Xenopus tropicalis: one gene and its partner. The protein of the gene in region 2 purifies or fractionates together with the protein of the main gene of each other region. This does not show direct contact. Links are inferred from orthologs where the notes say so. Each region holds a gene or a part of one and is shown on either strand. Other genes may lie near its edges.

Evidence for each region. The genes of interacting proteins can lie anywhere in the genome.
Region 1: the proteins of cct2 (region 2) and pdcl3 purify together in Homo sapiens (co-immunoprecipitation; 3 studies listed by BioGRID and IntAct, with this or other methods). This does not show direct contact. The link is inferred for Xenopus tropicalis from reciprocal best matches to the Homo sapiens genes CCT2 and PDCL3.

The regions. Positions count from the first base shown.
Region 1 is NC_030678.2:110,231,508-110,238,263, reverse strand, and holds the start of pdcl3 (phosducin-like protein 3), read right to left. Parts: upstream 4,003-6,756; 5' UTR 3,956-4,002; intron 3,863-3,955; coding exon of another isoform or gene 3,827-3,862; coding exon 3,821-3,826; intron 1,849-3,820; coding exon 1,728-1,848; intron 1,145-1,727; coding exon 1,054-1,144; intron 1-1,053. UniProt on the Homo sapiens protein: Acts as a chaperone for the angiogenic VEGF receptor KDR/VEGFR2, increasing its abundance by inhibiting its ubiquitination and degradation.
Region 2 is NC_030679.2:59,104,230-59,111,138, forward strand, and holds the start of cct2 (T-complex protein 1 subunit beta), read left to right. Parts: upstream 1-2,777; 5' UTR 2,778-2,836; coding exon 2,837-2,839; intron 2,840-5,454; coding exon 5,455-5,529; intron 5,530-5,613; coding exon 5,614-5,679; intron 5,680-6,909. UniProt on the Homo sapiens protein: Component of the chaperonin-containing T-complex (TRiC), a molecular chaperone complex that assists the folding of actin, tubulin and other proteins upon ATP hydrolysis.

The DNA of each region.
Region 1 (6,756 bases), on a different chromosome or scaffold from region 2:
ACCAGTTCGGTCATTTTAAAAGTAAAATGTTCTTCAGTACTGACATTATTTAGCTTATCCTCCACACAGTTGCACCATAAAGACCAAACATATCAAAATCGAAAGAATGGAGCGAGTCACTCCAAACACAGAACTGTACTGCTATTTATTATTTGTCTCATGCCATGTTTCCTTTTAAAGCCACAGTGCTCCTCCTCCTCCTACAAATGTCAGTAAAGTCACATGATTAGAAAAGGTGTAAATTCAATTTGGCCAGGCACAAAGAATAAGCTGAATCAGAATCCTGTCGATACAGGCTAAAATGGAATTATCAATTTTGACACTCAGATTTAGCCACCATTATATTAATATGATTCAAATCATGGTTTTACTGACATTTAATTGAACAGGACACTAGGGATCTCTATTCATGAAAGTGGACTAAGGCCCAGTAACTTTAAAATATATATATTTATCCTTTACAGAGAATAAATCCAGCCCCTGTTCTGGATGTCGCCTGCACAAAAGAACCAGATATCCTGATGTATGGCAAATATGCCAAGTTTAATTCATGTTTCACTGTGAATACAGTATATAACACCAGGTTGGAAAATTAGAATGGCAGAAATGTGAAAGGGATCAGCACTCTTCCCAGTACTTAGGTAGCAATTGAATGCAGCTTCTTTCCTTTCTTCCCACTGAATGGGCTTTTACAAATTACAAGGAAACGCACAAAAGCCAGAATATAGTGCAACATGTCTGCAGAAAATATGTATGAACCCCCAGTGTTTTAGCAATTATCCCAGTTTAGCAGACACTACAATTTAAATGTGACAAAAAAGATAATGCTCTATGCAAGTCAACAGGAAACACCACCACAGGTCACACCAGTAGATCATCCTACTCACTGGACCAGAGAGGAATTAAAGCTTATTATATAATCCTAATGTGTGAAAGCTCCTGAGAAAGTGTGGAAACACCACGTGTATGCAGGTCTTACTGGATGTCTGTATATTGCCTGTATTTAGTAGATAAGATACAGTAGCTATAAACTACTGTTACATATGTACAGACCTGTACAACTCTATTGCTCGCTCATCTTCTTCATTAAATTCATCCTCATTGTCTTCCAGTTCCTCAAGTGTCATGTCTTCATATGTTTTTACTAAAAAAAAAAAAAAGTGAAGTATTAAATATCACCTTGCAATCAATAACAACTATTAAAAGATAAAGTCCAGCACTCTCCAAAACCTTGCAATAGACATCTAGAGCAGTCATGTCCAACATGTGGACAAATTATGTTCAGCTGCTGCCCCATTCAAGGCACCAAACAGGAAATCTTGGTCTGCTGCTTGTTTTATGGGCTATTTTATGTGTATCAAATTCCATGAAGTTCAATTCTTTAAAGAAACCCCAGGCACACAGATACCCATACCGACCTATCTATACACTCACATACATAAACTATATATATACCAACATCAATACTAATTGTATATTTTAGTATCACAATAGCCTTGGATATTATCCTTGTTCAAGAAATCATCTAAACCACTCTTAAAAGGCATTAAAAGAATCTACCATCACAACATTACTCAGAAAATACAAGGGATGTAATTCCTCATTGAAATGTGGGTGTGCTTGCCTCTATTCTATTGCAGGTTAGTGTCTTTTATTACATAAACCCATTTAACACCAAAAACCATAATGAAAACTTGAGTTTCTCTGTTAGTACCCTTATAACTCACCAACAGATTGTTGCTGGAGAATTTCTGCTTCTTCCTCCTCTTCATCCTGTGGCTTTTCCTTTGGAGGAAGGATACCTTTTCTACGCAGAATATCATTCCACTCTGTGTCTGCGTTTGGATCCTAAAACAAGCATGTGTCAATTTAAAAAATGCAACAATAACCCAAACAAGAGTCTTAAAACATTAAATGATCTAGAAAGAACACTTTTTTCCCCTTAAAGGAGAATGCAAGTCAAAAGTTAAAAAGCATACTGCCCAATAGTCCTCCTATTGTTTAGTAAAAACGCCACACTTTTGGCTCACCTAATCCAATATTTACTCAGTCACACTTACTTACATTTTCTAGAACAGGCAGCCATCTCTAAAAAGGTATTCTCCCTTCCCTTCCCTCCTTGCTTCATACTGCACATGTGTTTCATTCCCTCCCCCCCCCCCCTCTGCCAGATCCGCTTCTGATTGGCTGGTGGGCATGTGTAGCTCAGAACAGGAGACAGGATCAAGTTACACACATGCTCAGAGAATAGGAAGGCTGCCGTTGGCAGCCTACAAGAAGGGCAGAGAGATTTCAGTGATGTCACTGTAGGCTTCACACTGCTGTAGGCTGCCAGCACTATATCTCAGAGAAGCAAGCAGGGATCTGGGAATTTAGATATGCAGTAAATACTTAAAAAGAATGCCTTTAGATTTACTTTTAATTTATATTAAGCTTTCATTGTCCTTTAAACTTTATTTTAAATGTTAAAAACAGTATACACATAAAGGTTTTTAGCTCCAATCAGTGTGCACTACCTTCCAGTTATGTTACAATCCACACAGTGGATACTAATCCAAGGAGTGCACTTTCTTTTGTGGCAGAACTTGAAAACAAAGACTGGAAAAGGTAAGGACATTCATAACCACTAATGATACCACAGATGACAGATCAAAGAATAAGCGCAATTGTTAACTGCTTCTTCAATACTAATAAAATATTTTTCTTCTTTAAATGAGGAGAGCTCTGGGAGACTGTACCCAGTAACATTAAAACCAAATACAGTACAGGTAAGGGGTCTGTTATCTGGAAACCCTCTATCCAGAAAGCTACGAATTTCAGAAAGGGCATCTCCTATAGACTCCATAAAATAATTCAACATTTTAAAACATATTTCCTTTTCACTGTATTGTACTTGATCCCAACTTAAATATAATTTATCATTATTAATTGGTGGCAAAAAAAATCCTACTGGGTTTATGCAATGTTAAATGATTTGTTAGTAGACCTGAAGTATGCAGATTCATATTACGAAAAGAGTCCTTATCTGGAAAACCCCAGACGCTGAGCATTCTGGATAACAGGTCCCATACCTGTATTATGTAGCTGGGCAGACTGCATGGTCTTGACGGAACTACACTGAGGGGGACATTTGCTAGCACCACTGTTGGTATGTCTAGAACAGAATCACACTAAAGTTGGCCATACACGCATCGATGATATTGTACAAAACCTCGTTTCGAATGATATTTGGTGCGTGTATGGTGGCTCAATGAGATGACCGATATCACAAAAGGCTGCAGATATCAGTCGACTTGTCGATCGGCCAGGTTAAAAGATTTTGATCGGGCGCCATTTAAGCAAAATCTACATTCAGGGCTGAATCGGCTGAAAGAGGTAGAATTTCCATTGTTTCTACCTCCATATCTGATGATTCAGCCCTGAACATCAGTGGAGGGTGGGAAAGAACAAAATTGCTATGTATGGCTACCTTAAGATCCATAACTTCTGTTATGTAAAGGCAACATCTCTTTTTGTTTGTCAGACTCTGCTCCTCTATTGCTCTGCAAATGACTTGCCTATGTGCTAATTTTAAGTTGCAGCAGTAATTTCAATTTAGAAAGACAAAGCCCATATGTATAATAGCCGGGAGGTGTAGCCAGAAAGGGACAGAGCCTATTATACTGTGGAGCAGGCAACCACTCAACATCCACAAACGCATTTTTTTCGCCCGGGTAGACTATATAATTTATTGTGCCCCCTGCCCCCCTCGGGTGCAAGTAGCAAGCCCCGGCGCTACCCTACATACACACTGCTGAGTAAAGAGACGTATCCCTCTCACCTGCATCTCGCCGCTCCCTGGGCACACGCAGTGTAAGCGATTCTGCACAAAACAAGAATAATAAGAGATACGTTGAGAAAAAGGTTACTATAACATTACTGTCACTATAAAACCCCGCAGCTCCCTGTCTCTTACAAGCCTCTCACAGACACACGCTGCTAGCCGGCTGGGGGAAGTACCCGTGAGCCTCTGCTAGTGCTTCCTGCCCCAGTGCCTGGCCTTATAAGGAAGTAGCTCGATATGGAGCCGCCACTGCCTGACAGAGCCGTGTGTGTGTGTGTGTGTGTAACATTAGTGCAGCTGTCAGGGGGAGGAAACCGTGTGTGTCAGAATCTGTTCTTAACTGAACCTCAAAATGTTAAGACTTGGCAAGGAGGTTAATAAAAGTGCCCATATATTAGTAAACTCAGACCCCTTATTGTGAAAAAGGGATTTGGGTTAATACCCCTTTTGAGTCCATTTCAAACCCTTCCAGTACTTTATACATAAATACAAGTTGCTTATTTGATGTTTAAAGTTCTCACACGGTCTCTCGTCATTAAGGTGTGAGTGGAATTAACAGGCTGTTGGTTTTCACTTCCAGAGACCACACAGTATAAATGCAGCGGTGTATAAGTAAATCCTGCGCCTCCGCTTGCACTCCCTCCAACAAAATAATCAGAGTTCATAGCGTAACAGACTTCATCTAAACACACCGGCATGCTATTAAGCAACTTACGTTGAGTTTAGAAAAATCCCACGTTTACGGGCAGTAGCAGTCTCCTTCCCTATACCGATTCAGAGCTTGCTTCCCTTCCTCCCATGTGATTCTCCTCCCGGTGCCTGCGGGGTCCTAATGCTCTCAGCTAGTTTCTCCAGTCACAGCACTCCCCAACATCCACTCCCCAACATCCACTCCAGATATGCAAAAATCAGAATGCACTATTAAGAATTGTAATCAATTCAGTATAAAATTAAAAATCAAGACTTATATATAGGATTCCTGAATCAAGCCCAATTTAAAAAAATATACATAAATAGATAAAACATTAAATACAGAATTCCTAAACCCATATAAATAGTTAGAGCCACAGTTACAAGTGTTAATATAAAAAAGGAAAATACTCATAAGAAGCATGTCAGGTGAAAATCAATATTTAACCCCTGAGGCACCAGTGTCCCCAGCTGATATATCCATTTAGTTTCTTCCAGGGAGAGACTCTTTTTTAAGTCTCCTCCTCTCCATTTGGGTTTCATATGGCTCATCCCCATAAACTTAAGGCCACTGGGGTCTTTATTGTGTACCTTGGCAAAGTGTTGAGATAAATGATGTTTCATATACCCCTTTTTTATATTCCGTATATGTTCCCCCAATCTCGTCTTTAGCTTTCTTGTGGTTCTCCCAACATATTGCTTTCCACAAGGGCACTGTAGGAGGTAGACAATATTGAAGTTCAATGGCTGTTTTACTGTATATGTTCTCCCTTTCGAGGATGCACTGAACTCTCCCTACTTTATTTGTGCAGCTAGTCATTTTACATGCTACAAAATTCTTACAATAAAGTGAATCCTAAAGCTAAATCCCTTCCTGTTTACTCAGATAACTCAGAACTCATTTCCGTTTTATATTATCTGCCCTTTGTTCCCAGTGGATGTATCTACTTTCCCTTTTGCCTGATCAATTATTTTCTCCCTATAAGGAGCCTTTATGAGATGGCCTTCCAGTAATTCATAACTTTCTGGATTTCTGGTTTCCGGATAATGGATCACATACCTGTATTATCCTTTATTTATATATCACTAACATATTACACAGTGCTTTTACCCCCAACCCAGTGGACCTTACAAGCTTACAAGACCCGCACTAGGGACAATTTTTACTCTCAGGTCCACATACTGAGAATATTTTTTTTGTTAAAAAGACCATATACGTTTTTACTGACTAGGTGGGAAGCCCAGTGCTCATCAGACACACAGAATATCCCTCTGCTAACCCCTTTCTTCTCTGTTAAATTGCTTGCTTGTGTTTTATCTTGTCAGGCTTTGCAGCTGCTGTCACATTTGTTTGTACATTATTTTGCTCTGGTAACCCTTTAACCCCCTTTAGTTGTCAAAAGAAAGGCTAAATTTGGACACAGGCCTTGTTTTACATACAAGTCTCTCACAGGTGAGTCCTTACAATAGTGTTGGAAGCAATGGTTTCCATATTAATTCTCACACATATTTTAAGCTAATGGTAGATGGAGCTTTTTAGCCTTTGCTGCTTTCAGGTGAAAAATAGGAATGTTCAAAACCCCCTTTCCCAGCTGTCACCACTTGTAAATAATGAGTGCCCTGTAAATGCACATTGACATGTGACATGTGGACATCTGATTAAAAATGCTTATTACATTATTAGGATCATATATATTCAGGGGCATTTTTGTCCAAGGTCTGGCTGTGCTCTGCATTTTCCTCTTTCAATAATTTTTATTTGTGTTTTAACTTTTACAGAGTGGATATCAAGATAACGCAGTTTCGTATTAAACAACATATATGCTTAAGAAGAAGAAAAAAAGAAAGAGAAGGTCCTACTTTAATGGATAATGGGGCCAAAGAATGAAAAAAAAGAGAGACGGAAAAAAAACAACTAACTTGATGGTTTTCTTGCGCTTAAATCCAGTTACCTTTAAGTGATGTTGCCTTTGAGATCCCATATTGTAATAAAAATTGGAACGGTTAGCATCTGTGGGAGTACGGTTCATGTATGACCCAAATAAACTTTACTTTGACTCATATGCACCTTGAGTGTTATTTCATTAGTTAGCCTAGGATGTAAACGAGGATAAATTATTTGCATTCAGAAAAGAATAAGTATACCAGGGTTCCCAAACATTCATGAATTTTTCATGCTTATCTACAAGTACACTAGTTAGACTTTCATTAACTGTAACCCAGTTCATTTTATTTTTAAAGTG
Region 2 (6,909 bases):
CCTAAGGATGCACAGTACATGCATAGATTTTTACCGTTTTTAACCAGTTGGATTGACTAAATGACCGATCGTCCATGGTATGGAAATGATGGGGACAATAATTTGGAGCCCACACGGTCCGAAAATGGAATATATCATTGTGTGTATGGTCAGCTTTAGCAGCTTTTGAACAGCAGTGTATGCCCACCTTTAGAAAGCCAGGATGCTGATTGATTGCAGATACCAACAGAATGGACCGGACAGGACAGGATTAGAGAGACCAGACCAGTCTTTTTAAGAATAAAGCTGGCCATACACGCACCGATAATATCGTACGAAACCTCGTCTCGTACGATATTTGGTGCGTGTATGGCAAGTCGGCGAGTCGACCGATATCGCAGGAGGCTGCTGATATCGGTCGACTCGCCGATCGGCCCGGTTAAAAGATTTTGATCGGGCGCCATAGAAGACGCCTGAGCAAAATCTGCCGTCAGGGCTGAATCGGCAGAAGGAGGTAAAAATCCTATTGTTTCTACCTCCTTATCTGCCGTTTCAGCCCTGAACGTTAGTGGCAGATTTAACGATCTTTTGTGCGACCGATGATTGCACGAAAGATCACAAATCGCCACGTGTATGGCCACCTTAAGCTTGGCACATGCATGTTTATAAATTAATGTAAAGCACTATGTAAGTTGCTGGTACTATAAAAATAAATGATGATGATGAAGTGAAAGGAAAATCCCAGGAGCTGAATATGTTGGTAAGAACTGGAGTAAACACAGCAGAACAATGGAAAAGAGGCATAGGGTTAAGGGAACAAATTGTGGGTTTAGATGACAAGAGATGCTGCAGATAAGTCAGTTACTTCATCAAAACCATCAAGACAGGATGAAATGGTTTTAAAAAGAGGAAAATAATTTGGCTGTAGGGGTGTATCTTGTTTGTGGATGAAATCTATTTTGTTTTTCAAGTGAGGAAGTTGAGTAATACTATTGCTGAGTGATGAAGGGGATTTGATACAGAAAAGTGTAATGGATTGGATATGTTATTGCTTATGGAAGTTCTGAAGTAATCTTGCTTGGCATTTGAGAAAGCAGATTTGAGGCAAAAAAAAAACAATCAGTGGGCTGGGAAAAAGCAGCAGAAAGCTCTGCTGGGGCAGTCACAAGGATGTCTGTGATTATTGTACCATAAAGAACTTAACCATTTGCCATAGATTGCTGAGACCACTGAGTCTATTGTACTAGGAAATTCAGGATCCACTGTGTTATGAACTGCTAGGTGTCCGGGACCATTATATCATGTATACTGCTGGGGCAATGCTAATATTGCTAGGGCCACTGTGTCATGCATTGTTGTATTATATATTGCTGGGCCACTGTGTCATGCATTGTTGTATTATATATTGCTGAGTACACTTTGTCGTGGAATACTAGGGCTAATTTTTCATGAAATACTGACTCAACTGTCATGAAATGCTGGGGAGACTGTGTAGAAAAATACAGGATCTTCTATGCCAGAGGTAGTAAAAATACTGTCCAGTATTGGAAGCCACTGAGCCCTTTCATGCTAGAGGGGTCACTGTACAAATCAAGCATTATTTACACCGTTGGCCATCTTACATAGGTCTTTATTTACACCAGTTCTAGATCCATGTTATTATCCCTCTCTATCCCTGATCATCCAGAAAACACCCCATGACCCAGCCACGCACCAATGTCACCAAAAGCCCCATAAATGTGTAGCATAAACATAAGCTGGGTCAAACCCGGATGTCACAAGTCTTAAGGGTGAAGACGCACAAAGCTACTAGTAGCAGCTACTTGTCACAGATACAAAACTAGACAATGCTGATCATTTGCTGATAATTGTCTTTATGTGTTTTAGAAGAGGCAATTCTCACTATTGTCTATGGCAGGGTATTTTCTGGTATTTAGTAGCTGCTACTAGTAGCTCTGTGTGTTTTCACCCTAAAAGGTTAATAAACTCCATTTGGGGACACATTATTATTATTAACATTTATTTATAAAGCGCCAACATATTCCATAGCGCTGTACAATAAGTGGGTTTCATACATTGGACATACAGAGTAACATATCCCTCCCATATAGATTGTAAGTTCTACGGGGCAGGGACCTCCATCCCCTTGCATCTTTGACTCTTAACTTATTGCAACTGTATTTATCTTGTATCTATCTGTATTTATTGTTATACTTTGTATTTATCTATTATTACCTTAATAATCCCGTTTGTTTTAATGTATTTTACTGTACAGCGCTGCGTACATAAGTAGTGCTTTATAAATAAAGATATACATACATACATATAAAGCAATCAATAACCCATACAAAAGGTGAAGAGAGCCCTGGCCAAAAGAGCTTACAATCTACACATGCTTCCAAATGAACATTTTCCAGTTTCTTTTTTTAAATATGTTAAATATTAGCGCAACATGACTTTAGCCTCCCAGCTCCATGCCACATATCCTATCATTATATCTGCTATCTAAATCCTTATCGCTAAGCGACTCAATAGACTGCTATAATTTATCACGTGCTGCCCGCCATGACAACAGCCATAAATGGAAACAAAAGAGCTAGTTTAACGTCAGACCTCCGTTGCGTCACGTCATCAAAATGCACCCACTGTAGAGATGGGCAAAATAAAAACCAACAATAGGGTTTTCAGGGCTCGCTAACCATTTCAATGATGGCCGCCAACCCACCTTTCCGCTAGTTCACAGCCTTTCTAGCGCTTTCTACGCCCCGCCTCTCTGCCGTTAGTGACATCACTTCCTGATCAAAGCCGGCTGTAGCTGCGGCGTGCTCGGGTCTTTTATATCTGTAACATCAGCATCATGGTGAGTGCCTGAGTCTGTGGTTCTTTATTAAGCAGGCGGCAGTTATTTACAGTTCGCCAGTTGTCCGGCTGAGAGTTGTGTAAAGGAAAAGCTCTCCCATGCTATCGGACACGCTGTATTGGAGCGAACGCCCAGCGCCCCAAGTGCAGGATAGATCCCGTTTGACAGTAGTGAGGCAGCACTTATCCGGGCCTTTAGCTGGAAAGCAAGGTTTAGAGCGGGATGGGTATTTTCTCTGGGCCTTTAACGGATAATATAATATTTTTTTTTATATTATATGTTTTATGTTACTTCGTTTTTTTGGGCCGAAAAAAGACATTTCTGTAACCTTATAGAAGAGTGTTTAAAGTGAAGCGGAATTAGGTTTTACAATTAGCCAGGCTTGAGCATTATTATCCTAATGGCATGGGGTAACTTGACATTTCTGTTTGAGTGTCACGCCCCTAGGGGAAATATGGACTATTGGCCACCCAAGGGCTGAGGGATTTTACTCCTGGCAGCAGGGACCCAGGTTTGGCTATAGTGCCAGGGCCCCCCTCTGGCTAACACTGGCCCTGGTGGCAAGGTTGGCAGCCTAGGCAGTAGTTAGTGTAAGGCAGCGGTTCTCAACCTGTGGGTTGGGACCCCTTTGGGGGTTGAATAACCATTTCACAGGGGTTGCCGTATTTCCGATGGTCTTAGGAATAATTTAATGGTTGGGGGTCACCACAACATGAGGAACTGTATCAAAGGGTCGCGGCCAGGGCTGCCATCAAAAAATCACGGGCCCCTCACAACCAAATTTTCTGGGCCCCCTTCCTCCCACGACCTGCCCCCAATGCTCCCTCCCATTAGTACAAAGGACAAACAGCCAGGGCCCCCCTAAAACATTGGTAGCCAGGGCCCCCCAGCATCCTCCAGCTCACTCCAGCAATTTTCTGTGGCTCCCCGCTGCATCTGCACAATTCACCCCCATTGTCCTCCTGTGGCTCCCCCAGCATCCTCCAACTCCCCCCAGCATCCTCCAACTCCCCCCCCCCCCCAGCGACTTCCTGGATCCCCTGGATGCCTAGGGACTTAGCCAAATTGTATCTGACACCATGTGCCTACCCCCTTTGATATTAACAACAATCTGCAAGTGGGCCCTCTCACATACATATTTACACTAAGCATGTTACTAAATAAAAGGTTAAAAAAAACAGGGCTATATTTTATCAGCTCAACAGGTTACATTAGTTGCTTATAAAGGATTGTGGCCTCTCATGTTTTCATTTACCCTCTAGTCCGGTGCTGTCCAACGTTTGTGGTACTGAGGGCCGGAATTTTCTGACATATGTAGTGAAGGGCCTATAATGAAAGTCAGTTTTGGGCACTCCTTTTTAAACCACGCCCATATTAACAGACATTTTTTTAAGACCATATCCACATTAATAGTTGTAGCACACAAAGAAGACAAATGGTTGGTGCTTGCTGCAAGGATATCACTTATATGTGAAACACATATATTTATTAAGTCATATTAAGCTATACCCTTTAGTCCATATGACATCTCTTCCCCTGTGGATAGCACAGCAACCCCCAGCACATAATTATACACCTTAGGGACCCCTTAACAATTATTGCCAAATGCTAACAAACTCCCAGAACAAACCCCTGCCAAGTTCACCTTCCACAGGTAGGGCAGGCAGAGTATGGCACACACACACACAGGCAGGGTAGAGCAGGCAGACTTTGATACACACAGGCAGCAATAGACCTGAGGGGCTTACAGGTGTAAACAATGCAATGGCTTATTGCCTGAATCTGAGGTGTGAACAATGCAAATCACAGCAGCCAGACAAATACCATTAGAATGACAGGTGCTAAAAAGGCTAAATGTTTACAAACCGTAGCCTTATAGGAGTAGTATGTATTAAATGTGGCTTACCTAGAGAAAATGTTTTTGCAGCACTCTAGTTAAATACAATCTACCATTTAGGGCCACAACCACGGAACCGAACAGCTATGTGAATGACAGACTACAACAGTGCTGTCCAACTGGTGACTCCCCTCCCTGGCAGTTCAGTTACATAAATTATTTTCTAATTAACTTTTAAGTTGGTTTTTGCATGTTTTTTTTTTTTTTAATTATCACCATTTCTGTGTTGCCTATTTCTGGCCTGCAATTAAAAATAGTGTTTTTGGTTTTAGAACTGAAAACATTTTTACACTTCAGCTTAAGATTCATTATTATTCATTTTTTACTGCTGTCTTTTTTGTTTTACCTGCTAATATTCATCTTCTATTCTGACTAGTTGCTAGGCTAATTAAGCCTTAGAAACAAATTGCCTTTCAATTCCAAGTGTAACAGCTGACCAACACTAAATATTATAATTGTAAAAAGTATTAGGATTAAAACATTTAAATAACTTAATAATAATTTGGACTACCCTCTTTCAAGTGGCAGTATATCCCTTTGCCTTATATGTGGCAAGTCCAATTATATGACAGTTAAGACTGATAGTGATAGGCAGTGTTTGATAATATCTCTCACTAAATTCACAGTGAATTTACCAAAAAGTTGAGCTGTATTTTATTTTTGTGAAGCACAGAAATAAGACATAATTCTTGTAAAATTTTTGTTATTTATTTTACAGGCTTCCCTATCACTAGCACCCGTAAATATTTTCAAAGCTGGCGCTGATGAAGAAAAGGCAGAAACCGCCCGCCTAGTAAGTACAGTTATTTTGGCCAGGTGTAATAGTCTTTGCTGTTCCAATAGCTGTATTTTTCTGATAGATATGTTGTCTTTGTAGTCTTCCTTCATTGGAGCCATTGCCATTGGAGACTTGGTTAAAAGTACATTGGGACCTAAAGGAATGGTAAGTGTCAGTCGTCTTTTTAATGTAAGCCAGTCAAATAAATTGCCACTGGCAGTCTTAAAGTCCGTGGATGTATAAATATAGTATAAATATGCAGAAAAATAAGGTTCTTTGTTCACATGCATCAGAGATCCCCAACCTTTTAAACTCGTGAACCACATTTAAATGGAAAAAGTGTTGGGGAGCAACACAAGCATGAAACAGGTTCCTGAGGGTGCCAATAAAAATTATAATTTGCTACTTAATAGTCCTAATGTTAACTGGCAGCCTACAGGAGGCTCTGTTTGACATTATACTTGGTTTTTATGCAGCCAAAACTTAACTTCTTACTAGAAATTCAAAAATAAGCACCTGCTATGATGCCACGGGGAGCAACATCCAAACGGGTGGTGAGCAACATGTTGCTCACGAGCCACTGGTTGGGGATGACTGACTTACATTATCGATTTTGTAAAATGTATTGGTCGAAGCAGAGTAATATAATCTACAGTAGTCACTAGTTAGAATAGCCTTTCCACCTGAAAAACATAATTTTAGTGTCCTATAGACCAGTGGTTGTGGAACTGTAGTTCAATCCTTCTATTAGGCATGCTTCCCCTCATAGGTCATAACAAAGTCACAGGTAGTCTATCTGCTGTTTTTTTTTTTATAGCATAAATCTGACTGATTGACTCTTATGCTAGGCCATTCATGTGTATCTAGGAGAGCAAATAGGCATTCTTTACTAATATTAATCTTCCTGGCATTCAGACAGTCTCCCATGCTCAGCTCCAATTTTTAAAGACATAGGATCACCAATAAAAGGATAGATTTGGGGATGCTACAGCCAAAATTACATTTTGATTGCCTAACTGCATTCTAACATTCTACATTTTAACTAAAATACCAAAGCACTTGTGGGAGCACTTCCAATGCTAATTAAAGTATAGTTAAACTATTGTAGAAGTGTGATTGATGTGACTGAAATTGCTTAGCAACTTTATCGTTAAAAAAGTTTATTTAGCAGCCCATGTTTGAAAAATAAATTGCTTAGAACAGGACTGTGAGTAATATAAATAACTCTAAATTCACGTCGAATTTGTTTTTTAAAAACCTGAAGAAATACACAAATTAGAATAAAACCAATTACAAGTTGTTTAAAGTGTGTTCAGTTTTAGAGATTCAAAAGATATTTTTCCAAATTATATAAACGGAGATAGCAAGGCTTTTTCAATAAACCAGATTTTATTA